Caenorhabditis elegans: one gene and its partner. The protein of the gene in region 2 interacts with the protein of the main gene of each other region in a pairwise test. Each region holds a gene or a part of one and is shown on either strand. Other genes may lie near its edges.

Region 1 (15,428 bases), on a different chromosome or scaffold from region 2:
AGTGATATCATGCATTGTGGCAATGTTGACGACTGGATTCAAGGCAACACAACTTTTGTAGAATCCTGGATATTGTCCAATTAAATGAGACACCAGGAACCCTCCATGAGATCCTCCGAAGAGTACAACCTTGTCTCGAGAAATACGTGGATTCTTATCCAAGACGGTGAGAACTGCGTTCTGAATTAGTATTAATTACATTGATAATACATGCGGTGTAGTCGAATAAACGTTCTAAATTCTTTGACAAAACGATATGCAAAACAGCACAAGAATGTCTAAAACGGATGTTTAAAGGCTTCAAACTACCGAAAATCATTATCGTTGTTTAAATTTCGCGCGTAAATGTGTTTCATGGATTTTCAGCGGATAGATTTATTCATTTTTTGAATCTAAAAACGATTTTTCGTATTATTTTTGACTTTTGTTAAAAGTTTTGTCAGAAAACATTTAAATTTTCAATATAAAAACACGAAAAATCGACTAAATTCCAGAAAAATAAATTAATCGGTAAGTGGGTTAATTTTTGCGCGAAATTCAAGTTATTCGGGCGAAGAGGTTGATTTTCGGAACTTTGAAGCTTTATAACATCCGGTTGAGTCTTGCCATAACACAGAGAAAGTTTTAAAAAAATGTTCTCCTTACATGAACATCCTTAACATCCATATCTCCGCAGTTTCCAGGCAGAGCACGAATAAAATCGTCACCAAATCCGAGTGATCCACGGAAATTGACTTGAAGGACGGCATATCCAGAGTTGAGAAGAGTAGTAAGATCCCGACGTGGCCAGCTGAACTTTTAAATGAAAAACGTTTAAAAAAGGGAAAAAGTAACTCACCTTGCCATGGATGCACCATGAGGTCCACCATGGGGATTCACAACCATTGGAAGATTGTTTCCCTCATTTGGAACAATCAGAATTCCTTCGTAAGTCGCTCCGTCACGCTCAAGATTCACAAATTCCCAGGAGAACTCGAAGAGATGACGACGTTTATCAACAGCCTTCGCCTCGTCGATTCGCACCCAAACCATTTCCTCGGCTTTTCCTGTCCCTGGAAGTTGTCCCAGAAGAACGTTTGGTGGGCGATTCGGAGCAGAGACGACTGCGAGCACTTCGTTATCATAGACATCAAGAAGAGACCAAGTTCCAAGGCATATGGAGTGATTGGTTAATTTTTCAATGTTCCCAGTTGCGATGTTAACGGAAAGCAGTTCCAACTTGCTGCACCAGGAACTTGAAAGGATAAGACGCTTGGAATCAGTAGACCAAGAACGAGTTGCTGTCTGTAAATATTGATTTTTGAAAAATCGGTAATTATATTGCCTTATATTCTGTCCCTTCCTCATGTACATATCGAAATACAGGAAAAAACTTTAATTCCAAAAATCTTCGATGAAGCAGTTTTTTGCATTTTCAATATTTTGAGACAAAATCTCAATCTTCGGAGATGAGTTCACAGTCTTTTGAGACAAATTAGTAATCTTTTGAGACAAAATCGAAATCTATTCGAAATTTTTAGTAATCTTATATGGACGCACTATTTCTCGTATTTACTACAAAAATATTGCTATTTAATATTTTCATATTAGATTTGAGTTGCCTGAGTACCTGTGGGAATGTGAATCCCTGGAATTCGTCTGCAGATCTCTTCTCCTTCACAATCGGAACAATGATTCGCTTCTCAATGTTTTCAGCAGAATCTACTTTCAATGGCCACTCAACAGCTACCATTTCAAGAACTGCTTGATGTGGTCCATCTGCTGCTCTCTGGAACCACACCAAAGTATTTCCGTCGGGCGAAAATTGCAATTCTTCAGCCGAGATTTCACCCTCACTGATCTTCGTCAGCTTTGCGGTCGCAAGCTCATAGTAGTAAAGATTTCCACGGCGATTGTTGCAGTAGATTCTGCCAAGCCGTGGGGTGTCCTGCTCTTCGAGGCCAAAGAAAACAACGCCAGCATCTCCTGGAGCCCATTTCGTGTAGGATGGGGAAATATTCGCAGGAATTTGATCGAGAGCTGTCACATTTCCACTGGAGATGTCGACAATGCAAATCACCGGCTGCTTGACACCATCGTTCTGCTCTCCCCATGACTCGGTGAGCTCGAATTTCTTGCCCTGCAAATAATTCTCTAGAAATCGAAACTTATATTTTTTATTTAATCTATACCACTTTGCTTTCGAAAACCTTCGTCTCGTTATCCCACTCTATATCAGCATCAAAGTATTGCGAAGTTTTCGAATTTCTCTCAGCCACGTACAAAACATGCCCCTCCCCGTACGAAAAGTGAAGGCATCCGAACGGCATACAACCACCACCGTGAATTGTTCCGTGCTTTTTCTGAGTGGAAAGATCAGCGCAAAGCTCTTCCACATGTTCCTCAAGATTGTAGATCTTCAAATATTGTTTCTTATCGTCTCCAGTTCCGATGGTCAGAAGTTGAGCAACACGGGAGTTTGATGCGGAATACACACTTCTTTGGTTTCTGAAATTAGAATTTATTCCATATTCATAAAGATAGAGTAGCGTCTGCCGGGGGTATTTTCTCATACCAAGAGAAAAAATATCAACGAACCGAATAAAACCGCTAAAATAATCATGGAATCTTTTCAATTTGGCTGAAATTGAATTATATTAGAGCACCCGCGCATTGTCTACACTCACGCAAAAAAGGCGTCACAGAAAACGCTCCCAAATTCAATTTTTATTAAAAGAAGGAAAATTTTAACTAGTTTTACAATTTCAACTACATATTTGTGATAAATAATCGAAAAAAGCATGAAATACCTGAAAGAATGAAGAAAATGGAATATTCAAAAAAAAAAGTGAATTCAGGAGCGTTTTCTCCGACGCACTATGTGCGTAAGTGTATGCATCACGCGGACACTCAAATATTATGCAGTTTTCTAAAGAAAGTATTGGGTTTTCCGCGAAATGAAAAGAAAACATAAAAAATTTAGCGAAATTCTATAATTATTTCAGCAGTTCTATTCGTCATATTGTCACTGTTCTCTGTTATTTTTGGCAAAATTCCCACAGACTCCATTCAATCTCCGAATAATTGTTTACTAACTCATAATTACACATTGGCACCGAAACCGACGTCATCAGATACCGATCCGTAACTTCCGGTCCTTTTTTTCCAATCAAGCTGACACGTTGCTGACGAGTCAACTTATTCAGCTGCATGGCACGGTTATCCCAAGTCGTGGTGACTTTGATGAACTCATCTCCTGACTTCTTCTCGATTCGTCCTTGAGTTGGAATCGGAATTTGTGCCAGATCGCCATAAAGATCCTTGAGCTTTTCCAACGCTCTCACATCATACTCAGCTGCACTTGTCACCACAGCAGACGACATTTTACGAAGGAGAAGACGCTGCATTTCGGAAAAGTTTTCGGAGAATTTTAGAAAAGGCAGAGATAAATAAAAATGGGAAGGTAATTCAAAAATGGATAGAAACCAATGAGATAAATGAATAAAAATCTAAAATCGAAATTTTATTGATTCATTTCGCAATGTGAGAAAATGTTTCGAGGGGTAGGTCAAAAAGTAACAAATTCAACAAAAAATTCACAACAATAGAAAAAACATAAATTTCATAATTCTTCAATCAACGGTTTCTTTGTAATTTCCGGTTTCGAATCCTCTCCTTTTGACTGAAATGCTTCTGGAAGAGCTTCGACATTCTGAATTCCGACATCTCTGTCATCAACTGCGCTGTTCATCTCCTTGAACACGTCTAAATCAATTTCAATCCTCTGTGTACTACTCGCTGTGCTCTTTTCGTCAGTTGTGACAGGTACCTCTTCCGAAATCGATTCTGAATTCGAATCGCTGTCGTCCGAGCTGTCATCCTCGACATTTTCAATATGAAAAGCGTCAGCTGACGCGTTTTCCGGCATATTTCGATTGGCTTCTTCCATTTGAGGCAGGAACGATTGTAATCTTAAATTTCGAATTAATTTTTCTTAAAAATTAAATAATTGCTTCAAAGTAACCTGGTTAATAAAGAAGATGGCCCGACAGGTGCGATGATGGGTTTTCCATTTAAAAAATTGGAGATCGTGGGATCCTGTGACATCTGAAAATGGTTTTTGGAGAAGCACAACTGAAAAAAGATGCAGTGGGCGGAATTTCGGCTTCTTCTTGATAGAGTGAATAATTTTCAAAATAAAAATCGATATACAACGAATAGAGAAACAGTTAAAGTGCGGTTCTGTACAAAATCTTTAATATGCTGCTCGAATCTTTTTGCATCTTATAAGTTAAATACAACGAAAGCGATTAGGCGAAATAAAACATCAGCAGTACCGGAAAAAAATAATGACAAACATATCACACTAATAGCCGGGAATTATATTTTTAAATTATACAAAAATTAGTCGGAAGCTTCAAGCTCCTGGATAATTTCGATATGCTCATCGGCAACGATTTGTCCATAATCAGACAGGTTTTCAGCGAAGACGACATGAAGAAGAGCAGCTGGAGCAAGACTGAGTTGAGCCAACGATGCAGATTCATCCTCCACGAGTTGACTGGCAGCGTCACGAAGAGTGAATTCGGATGTCGAAAGAGCATCGGAAAGAGTTGAAGCAACGAAGACACGGACTGCGGAAAATGGTTCATGGCAACCAAATACTCCCTGGAAAAATAAAATAAAATAATTAATCACTTGAATTTCTGGAATATACATACCTGCATCAACAAATTTCCAGGCAATCTGACACGAATCAACGTATATTTGTAGCGATAATTGGTCATTTGTTCGTCTTTTTGTCTCATTTCCTTCGTACGCAATGTCAGCATCTAAAAATTCAATTTATTGTGTGATTTTTCAATTTAAAGCTCCACTCACTCTCTCCACCTGCATCTCCTTATTTCTCTGTTCGGCTTTGAGTTCAGCAGTCGACAAATTGTAAAAATCATCTGCCAACTTTGGTGCTTTCGGTTTTTGCCCCTCTTTTAGCTTGAAGATCTCTAGATTTCTAGCAACCTTTATAGGCACAGCCTGCCCATCCTTCAAAGCTTCCAGAGCCTCCACCAAATGAACATCTGATGGTTTTGTGAACACAAGGAACTTGTCTTCTCCTTCAGATTTCTCAGTAAATCCAACAGCTTCAAGGAATGCACGTCCTCCAACTACTGATGCAACTCGTTCTTGGAATGCCTTATTTCCCAAACGAATTGATTTGTATTTATCCTCTCCTGGGTGTTCCAAAATGTTTTGACAATACTTGCAGATTGTTTCGATGGCAGTCTGAAATTTAGAAGATTGTTTGTTTTTCTACCAAAACAACGAATTTCGTACAGTTTAGGTGAAACGACCGATTCGCAGATTTACAAAAATCCGTGTTGATTTTTTCTTTCTGTGCGACGCTGATTTTTGCGAAATTTGCGGATAGATAGTTTAATTTCAACGGTAATGTGACAAAAATGTCACAAAAACTATGATGGCGGTTCAAAATTTTGAGAAAAAAAAAACGGGCAAATTTTAGCGAAACTCTTCAATTTGCCGAAATATTCCGTTAACAAAGTAACTTTTTTAGCCTATTGTTAGCTAAAAATGATCAAATTGGCTAAATAACGAAATAACGTTATTATAACATGTGAGAAACTATTACAATAGATTAAAAAACATTTTCCGACCGCTGCAACACACAAAAGTTGACAAAATTGGAGATTTTAGCCAGAATGAGTTCATTTTTTTTCGATATTTTGAAATTCTGAGCATACACAAACCTCCTTGGGATGTTTCTTATTAAGTGAATAGAGCATCAAAACTGCGGCAATCACTTTATCGTTTTCATCATCCGCCTCGCTGATCTGATCAGAAAGGAAATTTTTGATATCTTCAAGAAGATCTGCTTTCGAGCGAATATGATGCTCACCGAGCAACTCGGAAGTGTAGAGAACACGTGATATTGCGGATGAATGCTCGAGGTGTTGCTCACGGTCGGGTTGCTGCAGTGATGAAGTCCCAGAAATGTTGAGATCTTCAACCTGACGTCTCTCTTCTTCCAGCTCTCGTTTTGCAATCATTTGAATTCTTCGTTTTCCAGCATTTTGTTGAGGTTCATTCTTCTGCATCCGTTTGAAAGCAGCCTGAGCAGCAATATCAGCGGCCGCGACACGATCAATTTGGCCTCCCTGGGCGGCTCCAGCGTGGGCAGAAGGCTGCGAAGATGACTCGCCGGATGACAAACGAACACCTTCACCGCTCTTTTTGAAGTGATTCTGGACTCGCTTTTTGTTGAGGAATTTCTTGAAACTATTCATTCTTCTTTCTCTGAAATAAATTGGAATGGTTATCAGTGCAGAACTTGTTAAATATCTTACTATTTTTTTCGTTGCTCTTATTTCTCGCTTTCTCAATGTTCTCTCTTATGATAAACTCCTGAATGATTGGTGAATATCGATTCCACGCAATGATAGTGCCAACAGAGAAGATGAAAAGTAGAATAGAAAGAAAGAGTCCGAGAGCTACCTGAAATTTTCAAATTTTGGCCATTTTAGACAGAAACAAGAACAATAATTCACGTTAAAATTTCGAAAATCTCAAAAACATGTTCTCTAACGCACTTGTTTTTTATCCAACGAATAATTATCACAGAAGATAATCAAAGCACGATAAACGTTTTCTACTCCGAATGCTTCTGAGGAATCTGGAAGCGCGTCGGAGCTCTGATAAGCAACTGAATTTGTGCTCAACGGAGTCTGCTCAGTTGTCGGCTCGGCGACCAGAGGCTCTCCCATGCAAGAATAGCTGGAATTGTAGTTCTTTTTCAGAGAGATTTGCGGAAATTAATGATTGCGAAATAGGACAGAAGGCGATGACGACATTTGTGATATTGCACGGTGATAAACATATATTTTGGGTTGTATACAAACTTCAAACTTCATTTCAGAAAATTTGAAAAAAAGCTCATCTCGAAAACGCTATAAAAAACTTGGAGTTTTTCTATTGGAGAAAACTAAACTGGGGAAAGCTTTCGGACAGAAAAATATTATCTGCTGTATTTTTCATGATGTCGTTAATTTTGTGACTTAATAAACTACAAAAAAATGTAGGTAAAACACTTTTGCGTGAAAAGTTTGTGATTGTTTTCCCAAAATACGTTTTTGCGGTTAAATGTTCGTTTTGAGATGTTTATCTTACAATTCTTTTATATTTTGGACAATAATTATATTCTATGAAGTAATCTTTGATTCTGAATAACTTTTTTCCGAAAACAATTCGTTAAAACAACAAAATTTTAGAGAGAAAAATAAAAAATAAGCAAAATAAAAAATAAAAATAGCGAGTGTCGTAAATTGTGTCGCCAAGTCCGCAGTTACGTAACCTCGCGCCGCGCTCTTGCGATAGCAAACCCCGCCCACTTTTCTGTGCACTCCACATTTTCGTCGATTTTTCATTGAAATTTTTCTTCTGTTATTTTGTTTATTTTTGTCGATTGACGACATAATTTTAATCTCAAGCGCTGATAAAATTATTATTTCCAATTTTTAGAAATCACTTTTCATCAAAATACTCACGAAATCCAAGCAAACTGTTTATTTTGGGATAGTATACTCATTCTTCTTAATTTTTTGTTAAATTCCATTGAAATCTGACATTACCTTATGCATATTTATGTTCTTGTTTTTTCTACAATTTTTGCAGTCCTCTTTGCTTCTGTATTTCTCGTAACTTCAACTTTCCAAATTATTTCGTAATATTTTCAGCAATGCCGAAGAATAAGGGAAAGGGAGGAAAGAATCGCAGAAGAGGAAAGAATGAGAACGACTTCATGAAGCGCGAGCTCGACCTCAAGGAGGAGGGACAAGGTAGATTTTATAACTTCTTTCCCGAAAAACAAAAGCATTAATTCCAGAATATGGACAAGTCTCAAAAATGCTTGGTAACGGTCGTGTTCAAGTGTTCTGTTTTGATGGAAAGCAGCGTGTCTGCCATATTCGTGGAAAGTTGAGGAAGAAGGTTTGGATCAACGTGGGAGATATCATTCTCGTCGGTCTCCGAGATTATCAAGACGACAAGGGAGATGTTATTCTGAAGTACACCCCAGATGAAGCTCGCCGTTTGAAGAACGAGGGACTTATCCCAGAAAACGCCAAGCTCAATGAGAACGATGAACAAGACGAGGGAGAGGTTGAGTTCTGTAAGTTTATTTTTGCTGAAAATTAATGAAGTTCAATTTTTTTTCAGTGGATCACGTCGGAGACGAGGGAGAGGCCGGAGAAGCAAAGTCTGACTCAGATTCATCAGACAGTGATTCGGAGAAGTCTGACGAAGAGGCAGGATCGGATAAGGAAGAAGAATCGGACGATGATTCTGAAGAGGAATCAGACGAAGATTCAGATGATTCGGACAATATTCGGGAAGAGGACTTGGCAGCTGGTCGTGGATTTAAAGAGGACACTCGTCGCGGCGGAAATCGTGGTGGCAAGAACAAGTACGGAAAGAGACGCTAAATTGATTAAATTATTGGTTTTTAATTGTTTCCCCCGGTTTCTGTTCTTTCTCCCCCTAAAAATCCATTGTTTCTCTTTCGATCCTTTTCAGACATTATCTTCCCATCTTCTCTGTCTCCCGAAATTCCGTTACTTGAATGCTACAAAGTGAAATAATTCGATTGTGGTGTCCGATGATCAACACAACCTCAAGGTTTCGGTCCATCGGACACCACTTGATGAAACAACTCATTTATTGCAAATTATCCCGTATTCCACTATTTTCCTTTCATTTATATTGTTTTCTGATAAACTTTTCTTGTTATGGGTTTAAAGCAGCACACAACTCTCGACCTTCAAACCGAAAAGCAGGTGAAACATTTGCATCAAAATGTCACAACTCGCGGCCACGTGTATTCATATAGTAAAAATTATTTATTTCAGTTATTTTAAGCTGAATTTGAATGAAATGATTGACAGAGTGCTTCTTTATAACTTATCAACTTCTGCATTTCCCAGCTATGATAATGCGACTAGAATTGATTTATATTTCTTTCTTATAGCTGTTGAGCAAGTTTTAGCTTTGAAAATCCCGTAATATTACCGTCAAATTCCAGAAAGTTTGTCCATCCATCAATAATCATTAATATTGTAATTTCATCAATTGGGATTTTTACAACATCATTCCATTTATTCGTTTTATCTCGAAATTCAATGTTAAAATCGTCCGTAATCTTGATAATGATAGGAATCGCTATTTGTGATATATTAGTGATGTTTGTCTCTATTATTTATAACTATCTTTATTTGATTTTGGAATTTAATGTGAAACCCTGGTAAAGTACATTTATTCAAAAGCTTAGTTCCACAGTACTACTACAGTAACCCAACGTAGTAAAAGATCTATGTGGTTAAATCGTAGTTAAAGAGATCACGTAGTAAACAGTACTTGACTTTTGTAACCCGATGTTAAATCAACTCATCTTTCCACTTCCAGTGAACCACCTGCACCACTTTCATTCTTTTATATGTACTGGATCAATGTAGTAATTAATGATTTGTTCCGTCGAACATCCACGTGGCTCAGCGTAGTTATGGCCACAATCAGACTGATCGTCTTGAAGTTTTCAACGAGAAGAGCATTTCGAAAAGTTAATTTTCCCAAATTCGGATTCACTTTAGTTATTGGAACGTTGTTATCAAGCATTCCATTAACTGTAATATATTATTTCCGATACGATATCGTTAAAATTGGAGACTGGAAGCCTATGAATAAGTAATCCAGATTTAACAACCTTTGCCTAATTAAAAATACACTTTCAGTTGCACATTTGCAACGAGTTATCCAGAATCTCGTGTTATCTTCACTTTGGTACAATCCAAAGTCTACCAGGCTAACGATGGACTTGTAGGAAAAGTATATCAATTGATTAATGGAACAATTTCCAAAGTGGGATAATTTTGTTTTTACTAAAGCAATTAACCAAGAACTAATTTTTGGTTCCTAAAAATAAAAATAATTTTCAGCTGTTTCCATGTTTTCTGCTTCCAGTTCTAACCTATATGCTTATTGTCGAACTCAAAAAAGCCAAGGATCACCAGAGAATGTTAAATTTAACTATAAGACCAGTAATTATCAATGAAACCCAGTCAGTTGCCAGTACAGAAAGAACCACGGGGCTAGTCGTATTTATAACAGCTTCTACATTTCTTATTGAAGTTCCAAATGGAATTGTTCGTGTTTTACAATTTGGATATACTGACTTGGGATACTGGTGAGGGTTTGAATAATTAGAAATTAATTTTGGCAATATTTGAAAATAATGAAAACATATGCCACCCGAAAGTTAAACAAACATATTTAATCTATCGTCTGTTCTTAATTATAATGATAATACAAACTATACGACATGTTTATAGCGAATATAATTTCAAAGGATTAACATTTTTCCACTTTTTTGCTGTAATTTTATGCATTTAGTGAAACCGTAATAATTCTGGTTTGTTAACCCTATTAAAAAAGGGATCTACATTTAGTTCAAATGCATTGATGGACTCCAATTTTTTTCAGATTTTAAGTGATAACGTGATAGAATAATTGGAAATATTTGTGTGGGAATTCTTTTTTTGAGAAATCAAAATTTTCAGGAGAATGGCAACCTCCGTTGCACAATTTTCAAGTGCCTTCTTTGTTCTACACGCGGCTCTTCAAGGCGCCATCTTCTTTCTGATGTCATCACAATATCGGAGGGCAGTTTCAAAAATATTCAAGAATGATGTAACCATCAAAGTTTGGGCTCATTAAGTTACAAATTATTTTTATTCCAGCGACCACCCATCATCATTGCAGTCAGCTCTAGCTACACCTGATCACAATTCCACTTTATTGATATTTTAATTTAAAAAGAAATTTAACTGTCCTCCGAAAAATGGAAAATAAACTCAAATTGAAATAGTGTAAAGATGAAGTGAAATATTTTAACATTTGATGACGGTTTCACTATATTTATAATAACAGAACAATCTATGAGACTTGTTCATGACAAAATGATTTTTAGAAAATGACATGTTTATAAAACCTATATACCGTATTTCTTCTATTAATATGGCTGCAATACTATTTTTCGAAGGTCTCCCCGCTTACAATACTAACTGACTCAATATTTTCCTTGTTTTTTTTTGTTGAGCAAAATTCCTGAAGCTCAAGCTTCAAATTTCAGCACCAAACGACAGGTGAAACAACTGCTGTTATAACAACAGCACACATGCAAGTGGCATTGATTAAAAATTATTCCGTTCAATTTGGTAATTCTTCCCAAAAAAAAATGGATGAGAATACCTATAACCTAGCGACTTCAGCATTTCCAAGTTATGATAATGCGACTAAAATTCAACTTTATCACTTTCTAAAAACCGTCGAGTAAGTTGAAGCTTTTTCAGCTTAAATTCCAGATCATATTTCATTTTTGTTTCAGAAATTTTGTTCATCCATCTATTGCCTTGAATATAGTATTTTCCATTATTGGCGTTTTTACCACATCTTTCCATTTATTCGTTTTATCTCAAAAATCAATTTTGAAATCTTCAGTAATTTTGATAATGATGGGAGTGGCTCTTTGTGATATACTTGCAATGGTGGCTTCTGTGTTTTATAATATTTTGTATTTAATGATAGAATTTAATGTGAAACCTTGGTCAGTTTACCACTAAAAGATATAGGCCAGTTATCGATGTTCCTTATAAAAATCAAAAATAGGCTCCACCTATTTCTGTTTTTAATCCGATTGTCTTGTACTACTTGTTTATGTTCTTTAACCTGGCGGAGTAATTTTTATAAAATTTCCACAATTGATCTACCTACTGTGCCTATTTTTTCAGTGAGCCTCCTTTATCTCTTCCACCATTTCATATGTACTGGATTAATATAGTAATCAATGATTTTTTTCGTCGATGTTCCACGTGGCTCAGCGTAGCCATGGCTTTAATTCGCTGGATAGTTATGAAGTATTCAACTAGACGTGCATTTCGAAAAGTCACACTTTCAAAGTTTGGAGCTTACATTTTTATGGGAGCACTTGCTCTAAGTCTCCCTCTCACTTTTATATTTTATTTCCGATACGATATTGTAAAAATTGGAGACTGGAAGCCATTGAATAAGTGATTATATAACTTAAAATAATTATTGATTGATCTAAGTTTCAGTTGTTCAAAGTCTGCTAATTTTACTGTTTCACTCAATATTTATAATCTTGTGCAGTCGGAAGTGTACACAGCCAATGACGGGCTGGTTGGAAAAGTTTATCAACTCATAAATGGTACATTTTCAAAGGTAAGTGATTAATTGTACCCTCCATTTTTAAGTTCAATTAATATAAATTAAATTTACAAAATTACCATAGCTCCTGACTCCTTTTATTTGTTTTTTCAATACGATTCCATACGAAGATTTTTCAAAAATTTCTAGTTTTTTACGAAATACCAAAGCAATTGCGCGGTCGATTATTTTTTTACTTTCTGCTTTTTTGCTATCAATATTTGAGAAATTTGAATGAAAGTGTAGTTACAAAAATATTTGAATACGTGGTTTCGGATTTGACCAGCAGTTTTCGTTTTTAAAGTAGGAAGCACCCAAGTGAAGGAGGTCCAAAGAGGATTACATCTTTCCTCAACTTGACATAAAACACACAGATAAGAATTAATTTAACTTAAACACAAAACCTCTAACACAAAAAACATAATTCCCCGAAATGTGCTCAAGAAAAACAGCTGTTCAATTTCGTTTATTATGGTAACTTTATTAAAACACTTAAAGGTGGTGTAGTAGATTTTTTTTATTTCTTTATTACTCAAAATTGTCTGAAAACACCGAATTTCATAATGAAGTTTCTTGAAAAACTATTGAGGAAAAAGTTATGGCCTCTCGAAAAATGACCTAAAATTAGTGAGTGAGAATTGTCAAATTTTTTACCAATTCTCTTCGTCCATCGACTTTTAAATACCTTAATAAAGTTGAAAACGCAAGATAATCGACCTGTATACCCAAAACTAGACGACAATTTCAAAAAAAAATTGTTTCCAGCCGCTGCGACAATGATAAGTTGGTCAAATTTCAAATTTTCACTAATTTTAGGCCATTTTTCGAGAGGCCATAACTTTTTTTGGAAAAGTTTTCAAGAAGTTTCATTATGAAATTCGGTGTTTTCAGACAATTTTGAGTCTAATAAAGAAATAAAAAAAATCCGACTACACCACTTTTAATACCGCGAACGAATTGTCCATAGTCAAATTTCAGATCATACAAGAGCGATATGAAACATAATTTTCCAATTAATTAAAAATATTTCCAGCTGATTCCATGTTTCCTTCTTCCAATCCTAACCACTCTTCTCATTGCTGAGCTCCGTAAAGCCAAGGATCACCAGAGAATGCTCAATTCAACTACACGGCTCGGAAATTTCCCGGAAACATTTTCACAAGGAGTTGCGAGCACAGAAAGAACCACGGGGCTAGTGGTATTTATGACTGTCTCTACGTTTGTTATTGAAGTTCCAGGCGGAATTGTTCGAGTTTTACAGTTTGGATATACTGACCTGGGATACTGGTGAGGGTTTGTTTAAATAAATACTAATTTTGTCAATTGAAATTGTGAAATTTTGTCAAATATTACTATAAATCTAAAAAACATGTACTAGAATCGAATCTTCTTTGACCACTGAAAATTTACATATTTATTGAAACAGTAATATTTACATCTATAATGAAACGGAGGAAAAGTTTATGAGAAAAGGCTTTGATACAGCGCCAAAAATTATATAATTTGATTTAAAAAATTGCTTTGAAAACTCTGACAGTGAACACTCCTGTTAGAAAAAACTGTTTCATGTCAAATTCTGAATAAATAATTCGTTAACTGTTTTCCAACAATTCAAATTCAGGAGACTTGCCACGTCAGTTGGCCAGATTTGCAGTTTATTTTTCGTAATACATGCGTCTCTTCAAGGCGTCATATTCTTCCTGATGTCATCACAATATCGGAGAACAGTGTCCAAGATTTTTAAACGAGATGTAACTTTCAAAGTGAAGATGATTGAATTTACATATTGTTTTAATTTCAGAGACCCCGCGTCGTGATTGCTGTAAGCTCACATTTCAGCTGAGTGATTAGGGATTTGATAATAGAAATATTGTGTTTAAAAGTTGTACTTCTTCCAGTAGATCAATCAAGATAAATAGTGTATTGCTTTAATTCAAATTGGAACGACGAACATTGTTATTTAAAAAGAGTTTCAAGAAGAAAAAAAACAAAATGTGAAACAGAAAAAATTGCAACTCAATTTGTAAAGCACATGAACCCCAAATCATTTACTTGTAATTATTCTTCAACGCCTCGATATCCTCCACAATTCCCAGTGCTCTGTCAATCAGCTCTTTGCAGTTTTCTTCCTTGTCCTCTGGGTTTCCAAGTGTCCCATCAGAATACATTTTGATGTACAAAGCGATTCCAAACAAGCTAAAGTTTGATGAAAATGGATAGATCAGGGAGTATTGGTGAAGGAGCTACAAGAAAGTAAATGAATGATGAGAACTGAGTACGAACAACGTATGAAACAGTAGCTTTTGCAAAACTTTTGCAGCTTTCCCCATCTATAGAATGAAACCAATTTTAATTGTAATAATTACTTCATTTTACATTTTTCTGCCTATTGCCTAAAAGGTTAATGCCAAATTGAATTAGCTTACTAACCTCTTCCATAGAAAACGGAGCTTTTCCATTAGAGAGCTCTGTGAGAGTTTTATGATAGTGATCCAAATAGTTTTGAGTCATCTTTCTTCGAATTTCTCTGTTCAATCCCAAAGTAAGTACTCGAATAATATCAAATGCAATTGATCCAATAAATAACATTTGATAATCAATAATTGCTGAAATTTCATCTTTTGCACTATCCTTCTTCCATAGCACATTTGTCACGTTCAGATCAGCATGGCAGATTATTCCAGGAAAAGCTGAAACATTGATAATGTTTTTTTTGACAACTGCACAAATTGCAGATTTTCAATCAAAAATTGAAATCTCTAGCAAGAGTTGTAATATCAACCAACTTCTTCAATCTTAAAAATTTACTGTTTCAAATTTTTCATAAAATTAATTATTTTTATGGTTCAATCGGTTGTGCCTTGATTTGATGATTAGTTACTTAGCACCAAAAATGTAAACTAATATAGACAAATATTTGCTCTATCTGGAAATAACTATTATTTGGCTTGGAACAACCGAGAAAATGTTCAAAAATTGTCTGAATGTTGAAAATTGCCGGTGAAAACTGCCGACAATTTTTCAGCAATTTTCACCGGCAATTTTTTGAACATTCTGACGATTTTTCTACTAAAATAACAATTATTTTCAAATACAGCAAATATTTTTCTATATTTTATCACTAAATTTTAATGAAAACAATTGCGGGAACATGTCCAACC
Region 2 (15,428 bases):
TATATTTTTTCAGGATCTTCTCAACGATACGATGATCGACTTCTATTTGAATCACATTGTTGAACACGTACTACCAGACAGCAATGGTTCAAATGTCACTGTTCTTCCATCGATATTTTGGCATAATCTTTCTTTACGGCAGCACGCCTTTGATTCTGAAGACGAGAAGATGATGAGTGATGAGCAAAAGATGGATCTCAAATTCGGCGATTTGCATGATTTCGTTGCTGATTTCGATCTCCAAGATTTTGATTACATTGTGGTTCCTGTAAACGAGTGGGAGCATTGGTCATTGGCAGTCATATGTCATCCGTTCACTGCTCAAGCTCGCACGGTTATCTTTGATTCGCAGCTCACTGCGGATCTTAACAACCTACAGAACATGGCTACATTAATCGAATCATTCATGAAGTATTCATACGAGAAACGTACCGGAAATGCTATGCCTTTTCCATTGCCGTGCATTTTACCACAAAGAATGCCTCAACAAACCAACAATTTCGACTGTGGTATTTTCATTGCAGAGTTTGCTAGACGTTTCTTGCTGAGCCCGCCAAAAGATGTAAGTTCATTCTTTTTGACTGATCGTTATAAAAAATATTATGTTTAGCTCGACAACTTCGACTTTGCACGAGAATATCCAGATTTCTCAACGGCCACGAAGAGAACTGAAATGCAACGAGTTGTTCTATCACTATCCACGAACAGAGCTCGTTGGCGTCCGCTTGTCGAATTGCTCAATGGCTATAGCACTGCCGCACCTCATCGTGCACTTTAAGCATATCCTTCTGGAATGCATACTTTGTCTCATATGCCCCGGTTCTTTACCGTCCGTCTTCCATTTCTCATCCCTTCCTGCCGAATTCTCCCACTGAAAAGTCTTCCGAAGAACTGTTTCTCTGATGTCTGAAGGCTTTCGTGACAAGGGAACCTTTTGTTATATTAACCCATTTTCACTCAAAAAACCACCAAAAATTTTCAAAAAATATCTCTCCATTTCATTGTTGACCCTTGTTACTCTGTTTTCTTCTCCTTATTTCTGTTGTTAACCACATTCACTTTTTTCTCAGCTGATATCCGTTCATCATTGTTCATCGTTGAACTATTTATTCGGCGTTTCAGTTTCCCCGTTCCCGCCCTTCACCGACTTCTAGACACAAAACAGGTGTTCCGACAATTTGCGAGTTTATGTTTCTTCGTTCCTTTACGATTCCATTCTTTCCGACTGCGCTTATATATCTGTAAGTATTCCATCGTTGTGATCAGTTTTTAACTTTTCTCAACAATAATCGGTTTACCTATAGTATCACGTCACCTCCATTTCTTCCCTTAACACCTCCATTTTCATTGAATTCAAATTCATATCCCAGCTTTTTCTTCACCTCTTCCCACTTTACTGTTGCCTGCCTTAATCCCCTTCTATCCACCATTTAGACACTTTCCTTCAACATGGAAGATTGGGTTTTCCGTGCCCAAAACTCTACGTTCACATGGGTTTCGTTGTTTCTTTGTTCCAGCTTGTAGTGTGAGAGATTTGTGTTTCCTTCAAAAAAATGTCTTTAAGGTGAGTGTGGAGAATGATGATGATTTTTTATGAATTTTAAAAAGCTGAAAAGTATTAATTAGTGAAGATAACTGTTTTTATGCCTGGTAATTCATAAGATGACATTGTCTGATCCCTCTTACTTTTCAAATTTTTTCCATACCCTTGCAATCTGTACATTTTTTGTTGGGTATCTAGCATTCAAATACTTGAAGATAATTTATGTCACGAAATTCCATCACAGCGTTGCTCTCTAATGACGAATCTTGTTTCTGTTTTAGTAGTTATTGGAGATCAGCGCTTTCTTTTCAAAAGTCGTTGACAAAATGTCCTTTCAAATCTTGAATGTTGGTGCATTTCATTGTTATTGTAAAAAATATCAAGTCTCCCGCTCTCTTTCTCGTTCGAATCTTATGTTTTTCTTTCGTTTTGAGCCAGCTACCATCTCCCTGTGCTTTCACCCTCTTGCTACACTTCTTTAATAGTTTTGACTGTCGGATCCATGACACAAATTCCAAAATATATTTGGTAATCGAATATTGAAAAGAAATCAAGAACGACATTTCTCAAAAATTCATTTTCAATCTTCAATTGTCATTTAAAATTTTGGTGTCCGCTGGTTTTCACATCTTGTTATATTTATGATTTCATTTTCTTTTTTTGTTTTTTTTACTAGCGCCTCGGTTGATTGGATGATATGGGTCGTATCGTTTTTCTACATTTTTGATTTGATAATATTATTTTTGTCAAACTTCCATGTTATTCGTTCCTACCGTTTTTTTCTCCCGTTTTCCCAATTTTTATGTGGTTCTCTTTCTTTAGATTCATAGGGTCTGTCCTCATATTGTTCCAAAAAAGCTCTTCTAAAAATCGTTCCATGTTGTAAAAGATCTTGAGCAAAGGCAATAAACTGTTGATTAAAAGCTTAAAAATCTTATTTCTCACTGAACAAGTTTATCACCGTAGAATCAATATTATTCAAATCACGATATGCAATAGAAATTTTGAATATGTACAACAAAAGGCACCGAGGAGGGCAAAGAATTTGAATATTATGATCTAGTCATGTACAATAATAGGTTCCGTTGACTCCATCGATTCACTGTCGCCGGCATATTGTTCAGCATCACGAGCAATATTGTCTGGATTGGGATTGTCAACACCATGATATTCATTGTGTGGAACCTTCAAAAAGTTATATTATTTAAAATATCAGAATTCAATTAATTTTTAAAGATTTAGTAATCTAACATAAAGTTGTTGGTAAGTAATTATTTTTTGAATTAAAACATATAGAAACATTCAAGGAACCTGATCATAACTATTAAAAACGACTCGTTTCCTGATTTTTCTTTGGTTCCTGAAATTTTTTGTTCTATTCATAATTTTTTAAAATAATTAAAGGGATAAAAACTAATTGACTCACTTCTGCATTTGGATACAATACATAATGTTGAACCATGAAAATGATGTCAAAGAATATTGAGACAAATCCCAGTCCGAATTTGACGGGATTCGCATAAAATGCAGACCAATCGTTCACATTAACTGCTTGAAGAATCATTTGAAGAATATCGAGAGTTCCTCCTGTGAAATCTAGCATGATGTTTCCGATTGACCATCCAACTGTACTTTTTCGGGTATAGTTGAAGTAAGCCTGAAATTATTTACAATTTATTTTAGATCACTTGTATTTTTTAAAATTAATTTTCAATAGTTAAATATTTTTTGATAATTTCTCTACGATTGGATAAAAATATTTTCGATTGAATAAAATTATAATTTAAATTAACATGTTTTCGATAAAACATCATTTTCCCAGCTTTTTTTCGTGAATTTTTGATGACGATACAGTACTTTTTAAGGCGCACAACTTTTTGAGTTAAACAAAATCTGTCGTATCGAGACCGGATACCGTAGTTTTGGCGCAAAATTTCGCGGTCAAGTTTTGAAAACTTTTTTGGAAAAACTAGTAATTTAAAAATAATAAAAAATAATTTCAGGCTAGAATACTGTTTACAAATGGACAATATGAAACAAACCTGTGGGAAATATTTACAGCAGGTTACAGCCATTTTTATGTACGACAAACTGGTCACAAACGAGAGCAATTGAATTTTCCTGAGAACCGTGGCGGCAGCGGAGCAGAATCCAAAAGAGATCAGCACAATCATAAGGGCGATACATTTTGAAGAAACACTCTGATTATCACGTTCATAGAATAAACATTGAAGAATTGTGATAAAGCAGGCAAGAAATGCGTGAACAGCGAACACAACATCGTTCAAAAGTACTGGTGGCGGTGACCGAGGATTCACAATATTGTATTCATTCTGAAAGAAGATGAATTAATTTTAGTTATTTATTTTCTAGTTCTCACCTTTACATGACTATTATAATACATTAACAGATTGAAAATAGCATATGCACAAAATCCGACAAGGTTCAGAGATAAGAAATCGAAGTTTAGCCCGACGACGCTTTTTCTTTTGAAATTCAGATACATTTGGGGATAAAACGAAATACTCCATGCGAAGAAGTATGTCCATCCAACAATTTGAATCAAAATGGCAAGAAAGTGAGAGCGAATAACTGTGATTCTAGCAAACGCATCTTCAAGACTGGAAATGAGTTTTGATTTAATTTTTACAATATATAATCATCGACTCACTCCAGAGGACAAGTAATTGACCCATCTGTAGTACAATTGAGAGCTTCTAAAATAGCTCCGGACACCAATTGGCTTCCTAAAACTGTCACATTAGCATTCCAATTGTCAACGAGAATAGCATCAGGATGGGAGATGTATGGTGACTGCGAGAGGGAGATACGTGTTGCGTTCAATGATTGTGATGTGTGGTTTCTGAAAATTATATTGATTGAATACAGCACATGTTCGTATGATTGTTTTTATTTTATAACCTGTTGGATGAAAAATATTATTAATAACTCACTTGATCTGGAAATTAACAGAGACTTCTCCTCCAATTACAATTTCCAATTCTTTCTGTCTAACAACTAAATTATTTGTCGCAAATGTGAATGGAACCAAGAAGAGAACGAGCAAAAATGCCACCGGGAAACTCATTATATCATTCTGGAAACAATTATACTTCAAAAAATGGAAGCAAAATATAAAACAGGAGTTGTGAATAGAGAAAACGACGCTTTATATCATCAGTTTTGGCATTGAAATGAATCAATAACATAAATTGAGCGAGAAAAAGAGAAACAGCAAAATAGTGAAAAACGAATGATTGACCGAGAGAACGGGGGAAGGTTGGAATTTTTGTAAACAAACGAGGGAAACATCATGTTGAAAACATATATATACACATTTTTTATTTAATGCGTCGGAATATTCAGAAAATCGTTCAGATCATCGATAATTTTTATTGATAAAAGACCAAAAATCCAGTTTACATGAGGAAAACAATACACTGTGAATTTTAAAGAAAATTAAATATTCCAAAAAAATTTAATTTAATTTGTAATTTGGGAAACTGAAACAATAAAACACTATCGAAAACTTAAAAAAAAACATGGATTGAAGCTCAAAAAAACTGTTTTAATGTTTCGTTTTGTAGAACTTTAGATTTTTGTAAAGCGGGAGACACCACGAATCCGCAAGAAGTTTCTTCCAGAAGCAGATTCGCTGAAAAAAAATGAAGTTGTCTTAAACCTGATGCTTTTTTTTGATAATTTTTATACATTATGTGGTTTCCTGGTTGGCCATTTTGTTAAAATCATTATTTCCTGTAATAAAAGTCAGGCGTTCTCAGTTATTTCCAGATATCGGATTCCTAAAATAGCTGAACTCCAAAAAACGGTCAAGTCTCTGAACACCAAACGCGCTCCTTCGAACAAAAAAAGCAGCGCGTACGTTTAACGAACAGTTTTTTCTTCTAGAAATTGTTTTCTCATTGCGCAATGCATTGCTCATTATAAATAATTATGTTTTAAACAGTTGCTGGGAGGTTTTCGCTATCTCAGTCGTTGTTAAACAATTACCAGAGTGTGTTATCGTATTTATCTTTGCCGTATAATATCTTTTCCATATTTATGCGATTGCGGAAATTTACCACTGACTCTGCGGAAACTGCGGAAATTTACCACTGAAATATCACTCATATCGTACGTTTCTTTGAATTCGTCTCCTTGTTATTCAAATTATGTCTTCGTTTTTGAACGAGATATTTACCTCTAGCTTTCTAGATCGTCACATCACTTAGGTTCGCCTTGAACTTCTGTTCCGCTAAAGACGGCTGGTTCACATATATTTTTAACAATGTAATTATTACTTATGACCCGAATAAAACGGTAGAACGCTTTGTGAAATTATTCGAAAGCAAATGCGCCCCAAGGAGAGAGTGTGAATGAGAGGCTGCGTTTTGTCATCATGTAGAGGCAGCATTGGGGTGTTCTGTAGAGAACTTAGTCTACGTGTCTCATCTTCCATATTTCTTAATTTTGTTCTATTGGCTCTTTTTGCATCTCTTCTTTGATTCGATTCTTTAACTGAATTAGATCAGAAATTATACTTGAAGTTTTATCTTGAAAACCTACTGTAGAAAAGTTTGTCCGTGTTCTACTTTCTTATTAGACTTTCGCGTTTCGGCCTTTCCTATGTTCTACCCCCATCTTCCGTTCTTTTTTATTATTCCAAGATTTTACAGAGAAGTCGTTTAACCATGGCCTCAGTTCCGACTCAGAGAGACGAGAAGGAAAAGAAGAATGATGAGCTGGCTACGGCTATCTTGAAAGTAGGTTTTTCTCCAAGGTAATCATTTCAATATAATTAACTCTTTCAGGACAAAAAACGCCCAAACAGACTCATTATCGATCAGTCTGACAATGACGACAACTCCATGGTCATGCTCTCACAGGCCAAAATGGACGAGCTGGGACTCTTCCGTGGAGATTCGGTGATTTTGAAAGGAAAGAAACGAAGAGAGACTGTCTCTATCGTTCTTAATGCGGACAATTGCCCGAATGACAAGATCAAGATGAACAAAGTGGTTCGAAACAACCTCAGAAGCCGTCTTGGAGACGTTGTCAGTATCTCAAGTGCTCAACTCGAATATGGAAAAAGGGTTCATGTTCTTCCAATTGATGACACAATCGAGGGATTGACTGGGTATGTTCTTGCCACGGAGAAATAAAGACTGTATTTTTTATTTTAGAAATCTATTTGATGTCTTCCTTCGGCCATACTTTACCGACGCCTACCGCCCAGTGCACAAGGGAGACATATTCACTGTTCAAGCTGCAATGAGAACTGTCGAGTTCAAAGTTGTCGAGACGGATCCTGCTCCGGCGTGTATTGTTGCTCCAGATACTGTTATTCACTATGAAGGAGATCCAATTAAAAGAGAGGAAGAAGAGGAGGCTCTCAATGAAGTTGGATACGATGATCTCGGAGGTGTTCGTAAACAACTCGCTCAGATCAAGGAAATGGTTGAGCTCCCACTTCGCCATCCCCAACTTTTCAAGGCTATCGGAGTGAAACCACCACGTGGAATTCTTCTGTTCGGTCCACCAGGAACCGGTAAGACACTGATCGCAAGAGCTGTCGCCAACGAAACAGGAGCATTCTTCTTCCTCATTAACGGACCGGAAATTATGTCTAAAATGTCTGGAGAGTCGGAATCGAATCTTCGTAAAGCATTTGCCGAGTGTGAGAAGAACTCACCTGCTATTTTGTTCATTGACGAGATCGATGCGATTGCTCCAAAGAGAGAAAAGGCTCACGGTGAAGTCGAGAAGCGTATCGTCTCGCAACTTCTCACACTTATGGATGGACTTAAAACTCGCGCTCATGTTGTCGTGATCGCCGCTACTAATCGTCCTAACTCTATTGATGGAGCCCTTCGTCGTTTCGGTCGCTTTGATCGTGAAATTGACATTGGAATCCCTGATGCTGTTGGCCGTCTGGAAATTCTCAGAATTCATACCAAGAACATGAAATTAGGAGAAGACGTTGATTTGGAACAAGTTGCAAACGAATGCCACGGATTTGTCGGAGCTGATTTGGCTTCCCTCTGCTCTGAGGCTGCTATTCAGCAAATTCGCGAAAAGATGGAGCTGATTGATTTGGAGGATGATACAATTGATGCTGAAGTTCTCAATTCTTTGGCGGTCACTATGGAGAACTTTAGAGTAAGTTATCATTTTTTTGCACTTAAGAGACGTATCATTAATCATTTTTCAGTTCGCAATGGGAAAATCATCCCCATCTGCTCTTCGCGAAGCCGTTGTGGAAACTCCAAATACTACTTGGTCCGACATCGGAGGTCTTCAAAACGTCAAGCGCGAACTTCAGGAGCTCGTTCAATACCCTGTAGAGCATCCAGAAAAGTATCTCAAGTTCGGAATGCAACCATCTCGTGGAGTTTTGTTCTACGGTCCACCAGGATGCGGTAAAACACTTCTCGCTAAAGCGATTGCCAATGAATGCCAGGCTAACTTCATTTCCATCAAGGGACCCGAGCTTCTTACTATGTGGTTCGGAGAATCCGAAGCTAATGTTCGCGACGTGTTTGATAAAGCTCGTGCTGCCGCTCCATGCGTTCTCTTCTTTGACGAACTCGATTCGATCGCAAAGGCCAGAGGAGGAAGTGTAGGAGATGCTGGAGGTGCTGCCGATCGTGTTATCAACCAGGTTCTCACTGAAATGGATGGTATGAATGCCAAGAAAAACGTGTTCATTATTGGAGCTACCAATCGTCCTGATATCATTGATCCAGCTGTTCTTCGTCCAGGACGTCTCGATCAGTTGATCTACATTCCTCTTCCTGACGAAGCATCTAGACTTCAAATTTTCAAGGCCTCACTCCGCAAAACGCCCCTTTCCGCCGATCTCGATTTGAACTTCCTTGCCAAGAACACCGTCGGTTTTTCGGGAGCCGACTTAACCGAAATTTGCCAAAGGTTTGTTATAAAAATTAGTTAAAAAAATATTCGCATTTGTCAATTAATACCATTTTCAGAGCATGCAAGCTTGCCATTCGTGAATCAATTGAACGGGAAATTCGTCAGGAAAAGGAGCGTCAGGACAGAAGTGCTCGTGGAGAAGAACTTATGGAGGATGAACTGGCTGACCCAGTTCCAGAAATAACTAGAGCACACTTCGAGGAGGCAATGAAGTTCGCTAGACGTTCCGTGACTGATAACGATATCAGAAAATACGAGATGTTCGCCCAGACTCTTCAACAATCTCGTGGATTTGGAAACAACTTCAAGTTCCCAGGAGAAGCTCCTTCTGCTGGACAACCTGTTGGAGGAAACGGTGGCTCCGGTGGAAATGACGATGATGACCTGTACAACTAGATTTCGCTAAAATTGTTTTATTCTATTTATTGTAAATGCATCCTTGCGAGGGTATCAAATGTTCTCATGAATGTTAAATTTATTTCCAACTTTTACAAGTAAAAAAATCGTAACCGTAAAAAGTATTTGTTAAAATCTTATGCTTTAACAGAGATAGCAGGAGGGACCGGGGAGGATTCGGGTGAAATGAGATCAGTGATGGCTTTATGGATAACCTTGAACCACTGTTCACGGCATTCGTCCCAGATCAGTTCAAGCTCTGTTTCATCAGAATTGTTTGCTAAAATAGTGATTTCTCCATCAAACATTTCAATGCCGTCGTCTTTTAGTTGCAAGTGTGGATCATAGAGTAGAAGCTCGTTTGATAATTCCTTCCAATTCACTTTTTTGCCTTTGATGATTTCTGACAATGAGAGAGTGATCGGCATGCAGTTTTTATCTTTTATCAAATCTTCTGATTCTGCTGTAGACATGATATTCAGTCGTTCATTCTAAAATTATTTGAAGTTATTGCAAAATAAAGTTCAATAATCTTACTTCTTGATCGTAAACGAGCTCGGCGACAAATGGGCATTCCGATTTGGCAGGATTCGGATCGAGGCTTAGGCTTCTGTCAATTTTCTGGAATTTTTTATTTGAGTTCAATTTGTTTTAGAAACACACAAACCTCAAGTGGAACTCGTATATCAAGCTTCGGTTGAGCAGAAATCACTACAGTCTCTCCGTTTGCTGGCATGTGAACAGGTACTTTGTACTCCTTTTCCACTTTTCCTTTCAAGAACTCCATCTTTGAAGCTTCGCCGTGCACAAACATGACGTGTTGAGGCTCACATTGACGGATAAGCTGCATAATTCCTTTAGCATCAGCATGAGCACTAAACGACATGTATTCCACACCAAGTCGAATTTCGTGCATCTTTTGATCAATTTCAATTTTCTTTTCGCCATTAATAACTCTTGCTCCAACTGTTCCAGCGACACAGTAACCAGGCATAATGATCATGTTCAGAGGATCTGAGCACCATTTTTTGAAAACTTTGAGCGATTGACCTCCGTGAAGCATTCCAGGAGTAGAAAAGAGAACCTGAGGTCCTGGTTGATCTTCACATCCCTTTTCCATTGGTTTGATATGCTTGAATTCGAACATATTTCTTTCTACGAAAGTTTTCTTAATGTTCTCGTTGGTCCAGCTGATGAAAAGTCGGTAATACTGATTTGCCCGTTCTGCAAGACCTTGGGAAAAATAGATTGGTACGTTGAGAGCCATTCTCTCCCAATATGATTCAAGCAGGATACACAGCTCCTGCGCTCGTCCCAAGGCAAAGACTGGAATAATTACTTTTCCTCCTTTCATCACACATTCATGAACTTTTCGAAGGAAATCTCTTTCTCTTGCCCTTTTCGAATCACGGATTGTGGTCGCATATGTTGACTCAGAAATAAGGACAGTTGGTCTAACACCAGGAAGAACTCTCGCCGCTCCAAGATGCCTATCTGGAGTCATGTTGTAATCACCAGTGTATAGAACAGAATGATCTCCAAGTCGAATTTCAAACATTGCAGCTCCAAGAACATGTCCAGCATAAAATGCACGAATAGAAAGTTCGTTGTCAACGTGAATAATTTCATGAAGTGCACATCCGACAACCTTTTTCATACAATTCTTGATGTCATCTGAGGTGAAAAAGTTTGTCTCGCCTTTGATGTCACATTGAACTTTTCGGTAATCTTCCAATAAAACTGGGCAAATGGCTTTTGTAGGGTAAGTCATGTAAATTGGTCCGTCGTATCCCACAATTTCGCTCATATGAGGCAAACTTCCACAGTGATCCAAATGAAAATGTGAAATGATGACACAATCTAGGTAATCAGTTAGTCTTCCACCTCCACCAATATACCTGAAAAAGTTATTATTTTAGATTTGAATTGAATAAGCTTGCAGAACTTACGAAAAGTCAGGAAATCTTCGATCATCTTGGTATCCCATATGCATTCCACAATCTACCATAATATTCTTTCCACCGATAGTAATAAGAATACACGACCGTCCAACATCTTGTCCCGCACCCAGTGGAACAATCTAAAATTGTATTTTTTTTCAGAAAAGTCCTTCAGAACTCACCTTGATTTCAGGAATTTTGTCGGGCATTGTGAAATATAGCTATAAAGTTCTAAAAATACTCAATTTTAGCCTTGAGTAATGAATTAATTGCAAAAAATGCCTTCGCGAAATAGGATTTTAATGAAAAATCTTTTTTGTTTGTCCGAAATTTCGAAATGAGTACGGTGCACAAATGTCGTCAATTGTTATGCTTTGTATGTAGTTCACCGACGGCAGTGAACATTAGTGTTGTCCTCAATTTCTCTTTGGCCTAAAATTTTTCTCTCGATTTTCTCTTGAAGCAGTGGATTTTTTGCCTTTTTGTTTTATTTTATACATTTTTTTCTGATTTATCATGATTCAAACGTCAGTTATTTAAAACTATAGCTCTCATTGTCTTAAATATTGCAAACGAAATTTGTTTGAATCATTTCGAAATTCGAAGTCATGTTTGATATTGTTTTCCTATTATCCACTGTTTTTAGTTCTCGAATCAATAATGCTTTGACAGTATTTCGAAATAATGATGACAATTCTTGGCGTGATGGTGACAAAACATGTTCTTTGATTCTCTTCTATATATATATATTCTCCGTTTGTCGTAATTTATTGTAGTCTTCTCAATTTTCAGAACATGGGTAGACGTCCAGCGCGGTGCTACCGCTATATCAAGAACAAGCCATACCCAAAGTCCCGCTTCTGCAGAGGAGTTCCGGACGCGAAGATCAGAATCTTCGATTTGGGAAACAAGAGGGCTAACGTTGACACCTTCCCAGCATGTGTGCACATGATGTCCAACGAGCGTGAGCATCTTTCCTCTGAAGCTCTCGAAGCCGCCCGTATTTGCGCCAACAAGTACATGGTCAAGAACTGCGGAAAGGTAAGACAAGGATTTAGTTCAATTTTTCATCCAACCTGTATTTTGTAGGACGGATTCCATCTCCGTGTTCGCAAGCATCCATTCCACGTCACCCGTATCAACAAAATGCTTTCCTGTGCCGGAGCTGATCGTCTCCAAACTGGAATGCGTGGAGCTTACGGAAAGCCACAAGGATTGGTCGCTCGTGTCGACATTGGAGATATTCTTTTCTCCATGAGAATCAAGGAAGGAGTAAGTTCCTCCACTAGAAATATCAGGTGCTAATAATTGTGTTCAGAACGTCAAGCACGCTATTGAAGCCTTCCGTCGTGCCAAGTTCAAGTTCCCAGGACGTCAAATCATCGTCTCTTCCCGCAAGTGGGGATTCACCAAGTGGGATCGCGAAGACTACGAGCGCATGCGTGCTGAAGGAAGACTCCGCTCCGACGGAGTTGGAGTTCAACTCCAACGTGAGCATGGACCACTCACCAAGTGGATTGAGAACCCAATCTAATTTGGTATCCACTGTATTTGTTGAAAGCAAATAAATAATTTCTTATGTTATATTTTTCTTTGTTGTTTTTCCAATCATGTAAAATTCGTCAAGGTATTATGCGGGTAGATCTATAGATATAACATGCACTACGTTTTAGATGAGCGACAACACTGCGATCTTGCTTCAAGCTATGCGAATGGGTGGCGCATTGCCTCCTGAAATTGTAGACTACATGTATCGCAATGGAGCTTTTCTTCTTTTTCTGGGATTTCCGCAGGCTTCAGAGTTCGGTATTGACTACAAATCATGGAAGACGGGAGAAAAGTTCATGGGTCTGAAAATGATTCCGCCTGGAGTTCATTTTGTTTATTGCAGCATTAAATCTGCTCCAAGAATTGGTTAGATAGCGACAATATTACATTTTGTGAAACATTTTACTTTCAGGATTCTTTCATAACTTCAAAGCTGGGGAAATTTTGGTAAAGAAATGGAACACAGAGAGTGAAACATTTGAAGATGAAGAAGTTCCAACTGATGTAACTATTTAAATTCATAAATTCTATGTCGTAGTATGTTTTCAGCAAATCTCTGAAAAGAAGCGTCAACTGAAGAATATGGATTCATCACTAGCCCCCTATCCATATGAAAACTATAGAAGCTGGTATGGTCTTACTGATTTTATCACGGCCGACACTGTCGAAAGAATTCATCCCATACTTGGTCGTATCACTTCACAAGCAGAGCTCGTCAGCCTTGAGACTGAGTTCATGGAAAATGCAGAAAAAGAGCACAAAGACAGTCATTTTCGAAATCGAGTGGATCGAGAGAATCCAGTTCGGACGAGATTCACAGATCAGCATGGATTACCGATTATGAAGATTCGAGAGGGATACGAAATTCGATTCCAAGATATACCACCTCTCACGGTAAATTTTTTTTCGTTTTTGCTTTAAAAATATAAATTTTCGAGTTATGAGAAAAGTTTTAAAATTAGTTTTTTTATATTACCCAGACACAGTGTTGCGATTTTTGTGCCTAAAATTATTATCCGGGGTCAACACCAGGGCTGAGCAGCCGCCCAAAAAAAATCGGCGATCGGCGATCACAAATTGCCAAAAAAAAATCGGCGATCGCCGATTGCCGATCAGTGTGCGTCTAATTTTTTTCAATTTTAAAATCCTAATTTTAAGAGCTCTTTCAAATAATTTTTTATAAAAACAGGAATATTAGGCAACGAAAAGCACTCCTTGATACCTTAAAATTCGAAAAGTAGTGAAAAATAGTCCGAAAATATACCTTCTTCCTTCTTCAGAGGGGTCTATCTTGGACTATAAAATTTCATCGGCGATCGCCGAAAAATCACGAAAATCGCCGATCGCCGATTGCCGCTCACCCCTGGTCAACACGACAAATTTTTGTTGAATCCTTTTAAAGAGTACTGTACTTTCGAACTCGTTTCTTCGGAATTTTCATCGATTTGTCATAGTTTTTCGATGAAATTTTTTATCTACTGAAAATCGTAAGAAAGATTATGCAAAATCGACGAAATTTCTGCAGCTTGTAATTCAATCGCACTTTCCAAAAAATTTGTCGTGTCGAGACCGGATACTGTATCGGATTTTCTAAACAAAAAAAACCTGAAATTTCGCGCATGGGTAACATCTATAAATATGCTATATTCAAAAGGTTTCTTTTTAAAAACATCTTAGTATCCATTGAACACGATATTACATAGCTAAATATTTAAATTATTTTCATTTAATGTCGGAACCAGTAAAAAAGTTGATTTGAAATACTAATTCCTGTATGAGTAATTTTTTTAATGAAATTTACAATAATTCCAGTTTTGTCGAAAAACTTATTTCTAAAAAAAAATTTTATAATGCTTTTTAAAGTTTAATGTTGTTTTTTTTCTTTGAGAAAAAAATTATCAGAGTTCCGAATTCCATGGGAAATTGCTTGAAATATGGCAAATCTATTTAGTTTTCTGTCTTGTAATAAAAAAATAAAATTGTTTTTTCTAAAAATGTATTTAAAAATAAATATAAAAATATTTCAGGTTAGCCAGAATCGAGTAGGAATTGAATATTCTGATCGTCTTTACCGTCTTCTTCGCGCTCTCGGTGGTGATTGGAAGCAATTGCTGGCTGAAATGCAAATTGCATTTGTTTGTTTTCTGCAGGGACAAGTTTTTGAAGGATTCGAGCAATGGAAACGAATTATTCATTTGATGTCGTGTTGTCCAAATTCATTAGGCTCTGAGAAAGAGTTGTTCATGTCATTTATCAGAGTAAGAACATACGGAACACAATTAGAAAATACTTCAAATACATAAATTACAGGTTCTCTTCTTCCAACTCAAAGAATGCCCCACTGACTTTTTCGTCGATATTGTTTCTCGTGACAACTTTTTGACAACTACTCTCTCAATGTTGTTCGCCAACGTCCGAGACTCTGCACACGCCGGTGATGATTTGAAAAAGAAGACTGCCCAATTCAAACAGTATCTCACGAATCAATTCAAGTGGGATTTCAATTGTGATTAATATGAAGATCTCTCGTGGAAAATTGCATCTCAATTTAAATATTTTTTTTTAATTGGTTTATTGTAAAAAAAGAATTTTGAAAATACAAAGGCACTGGGTATTTAGAAAGAAAACGTGAACCAATTTCAGAGGTTGGGGGATCACAAGCATCTAAAGCCCTAACAAAAAAATGAAGTAGTAAAATATAGGTCATGATTTGGAAGAAGATCAATTCAATTAGATAATGGAGTATTTAAGTGAAGCATTAATGACTGATCAATTAATGGTTTCACATCTAAATCAATATCAGTTATCATTGGTTCACCATCACTACTACTTGATGTAGATGTTTCTGAAGAATTATCTGCAAGTAATCCTGAACATTGTGCAAGTTCCTGAGCATGCTGCATTGCCAAATGAATGAACAGAAGATCTGTGGAGTGAGTGGAGAACGGGCACAATGAGCATTGAATCGGAATATTTCCAGCTGGATTTGTTGGAGCAAAGATTGAGGAAACATTCGGATCAATGACGTCAGTAGTCATTGTTGGAACAATTTTCTTTCTGAAATTTGG

What was found.
Region 1: the proteins of cdc-48.2 (region 2) and ubxn-6 interact in a two-hybrid assay, tested with the Caenorhabditis elegans proteins (one study listed by BioGRID).

Annotation. Positions count from the first base shown.
Region 1 is NC_003282.8:4,803,207-4,818,634, forward strand, and holds ubxn-6 (UBX domain-containing protein 6), read right to left. Parts: upstream 6,282-15,428; coding exon 5,745-6,281; exon of another isoform or gene 5,263-5,744; coding exon 4,861-5,262; intron 4,812-4,860; coding exon 4,701-4,811; intron 4,648-4,700; coding exon 4,384-4,647; 3' UTR 4,220-4,383; downstream 1-4,219. Other genes in the region: dpf-5 (acylaminoacyl-peptidase), read right to left, coding at 1-180, 646-790, 839-1,284, 1,610-2,119, 2,172-2,487, 3,076-3,362; H06H21.11 (uncharacterized protein), read right to left, coding at 3,602-3,950, 4,004-4,086; H06H21.37 (uncharacterized protein), read right to left, coding at 6,278-6,291, 6,342-6,489, 6,585-6,758; eif-1.A (Eukaryotic translation initiation factor 4C), read left to right, coding at 7,730-7,829, 7,877-8,161, 8,209-8,474; srw-95 (G-protein coupled receptors family 1 profile domain-containing protein), read left to right, coding at 8,923-9,023, 9,071-9,289, 9,451-9,729, 9,777-9,903, 9,981-10,228, 10,602-10,731, 10,782-10,823; srw-94 (G-protein coupled receptors family 1 profile domain-containing protein), read left to right, coding at 11,279-11,373, 11,429-11,647, 11,832-12,110, 12,156-12,282, 13,301-13,554, 13,889-14,018, 14,069-14,110; H06H21.8 (CHK kinase-like domain-containing protein), read right to left, coding at 14,316-14,510, 14,698-14,957. UniProt on the Caenorhabditis elegans protein: Probably acts as an adapter for ATPase cdc-48.1 and/or cdc-48.2, conferring substrate specificity. Involved in the lysosomal clearance of cellular material in diet restricted conditions.
Region 2 is NC_003280.10:8,132,277-8,147,704, forward strand, and holds cdc-48.2 (Transitional endoplasmic reticulum ATPase homolog 2), read left to right. Parts: upstream 1-6,219; 5' UTR 6,220-6,234; coding exon 6,235-6,306; intron 6,307-6,354; coding exon 6,355-6,680; intron 6,681-6,726; coding exon 6,727-7,702; intron 7,703-7,754; coding exon 7,755-8,473; intron 8,474-8,532; coding exon 8,533-8,872; 3' UTR 8,873-8,954; downstream 8,955-15,428. Other genes in the region: ulp-4 (Ubiquitin-like protease 4), read left to right, coding at 14-562, 611-778; ctns-1 (Cystinosin homolog), read right to left, coding at 2,603-2,728, 2,970-3,200, 3,586-3,876, 3,924-4,164, 4,215-4,406, 4,498-4,631; ints-11 (Integrator complex subunit 11), read right to left, coding at 9,010-9,363, 9,410-9,493, 9,540-10,770, 10,822-10,952, 10,995-11,021; rpl-10L (Large ribosomal subunit protein uL16), read left to right, coding at 11,608-11,853, 11,902-12,084, 12,131-12,346; F10B5.2 (Protein AAR2 homolog), read left to right, coding at 12,525-12,726, 12,773-12,864, 12,910-13,254, 14,388-14,618, 14,671-14,874; btbz-2 (BTB domain-containing protein), read right to left, coding at 15,087-15,417. UniProt on the Caenorhabditis elegans protein: ATP-dependent chaperone which probably uses the energy provided by ATP hydrolysis to generate mechanical force to unfold substrate proteins, disassemble protein complexes, and disaggregate protein aggregates.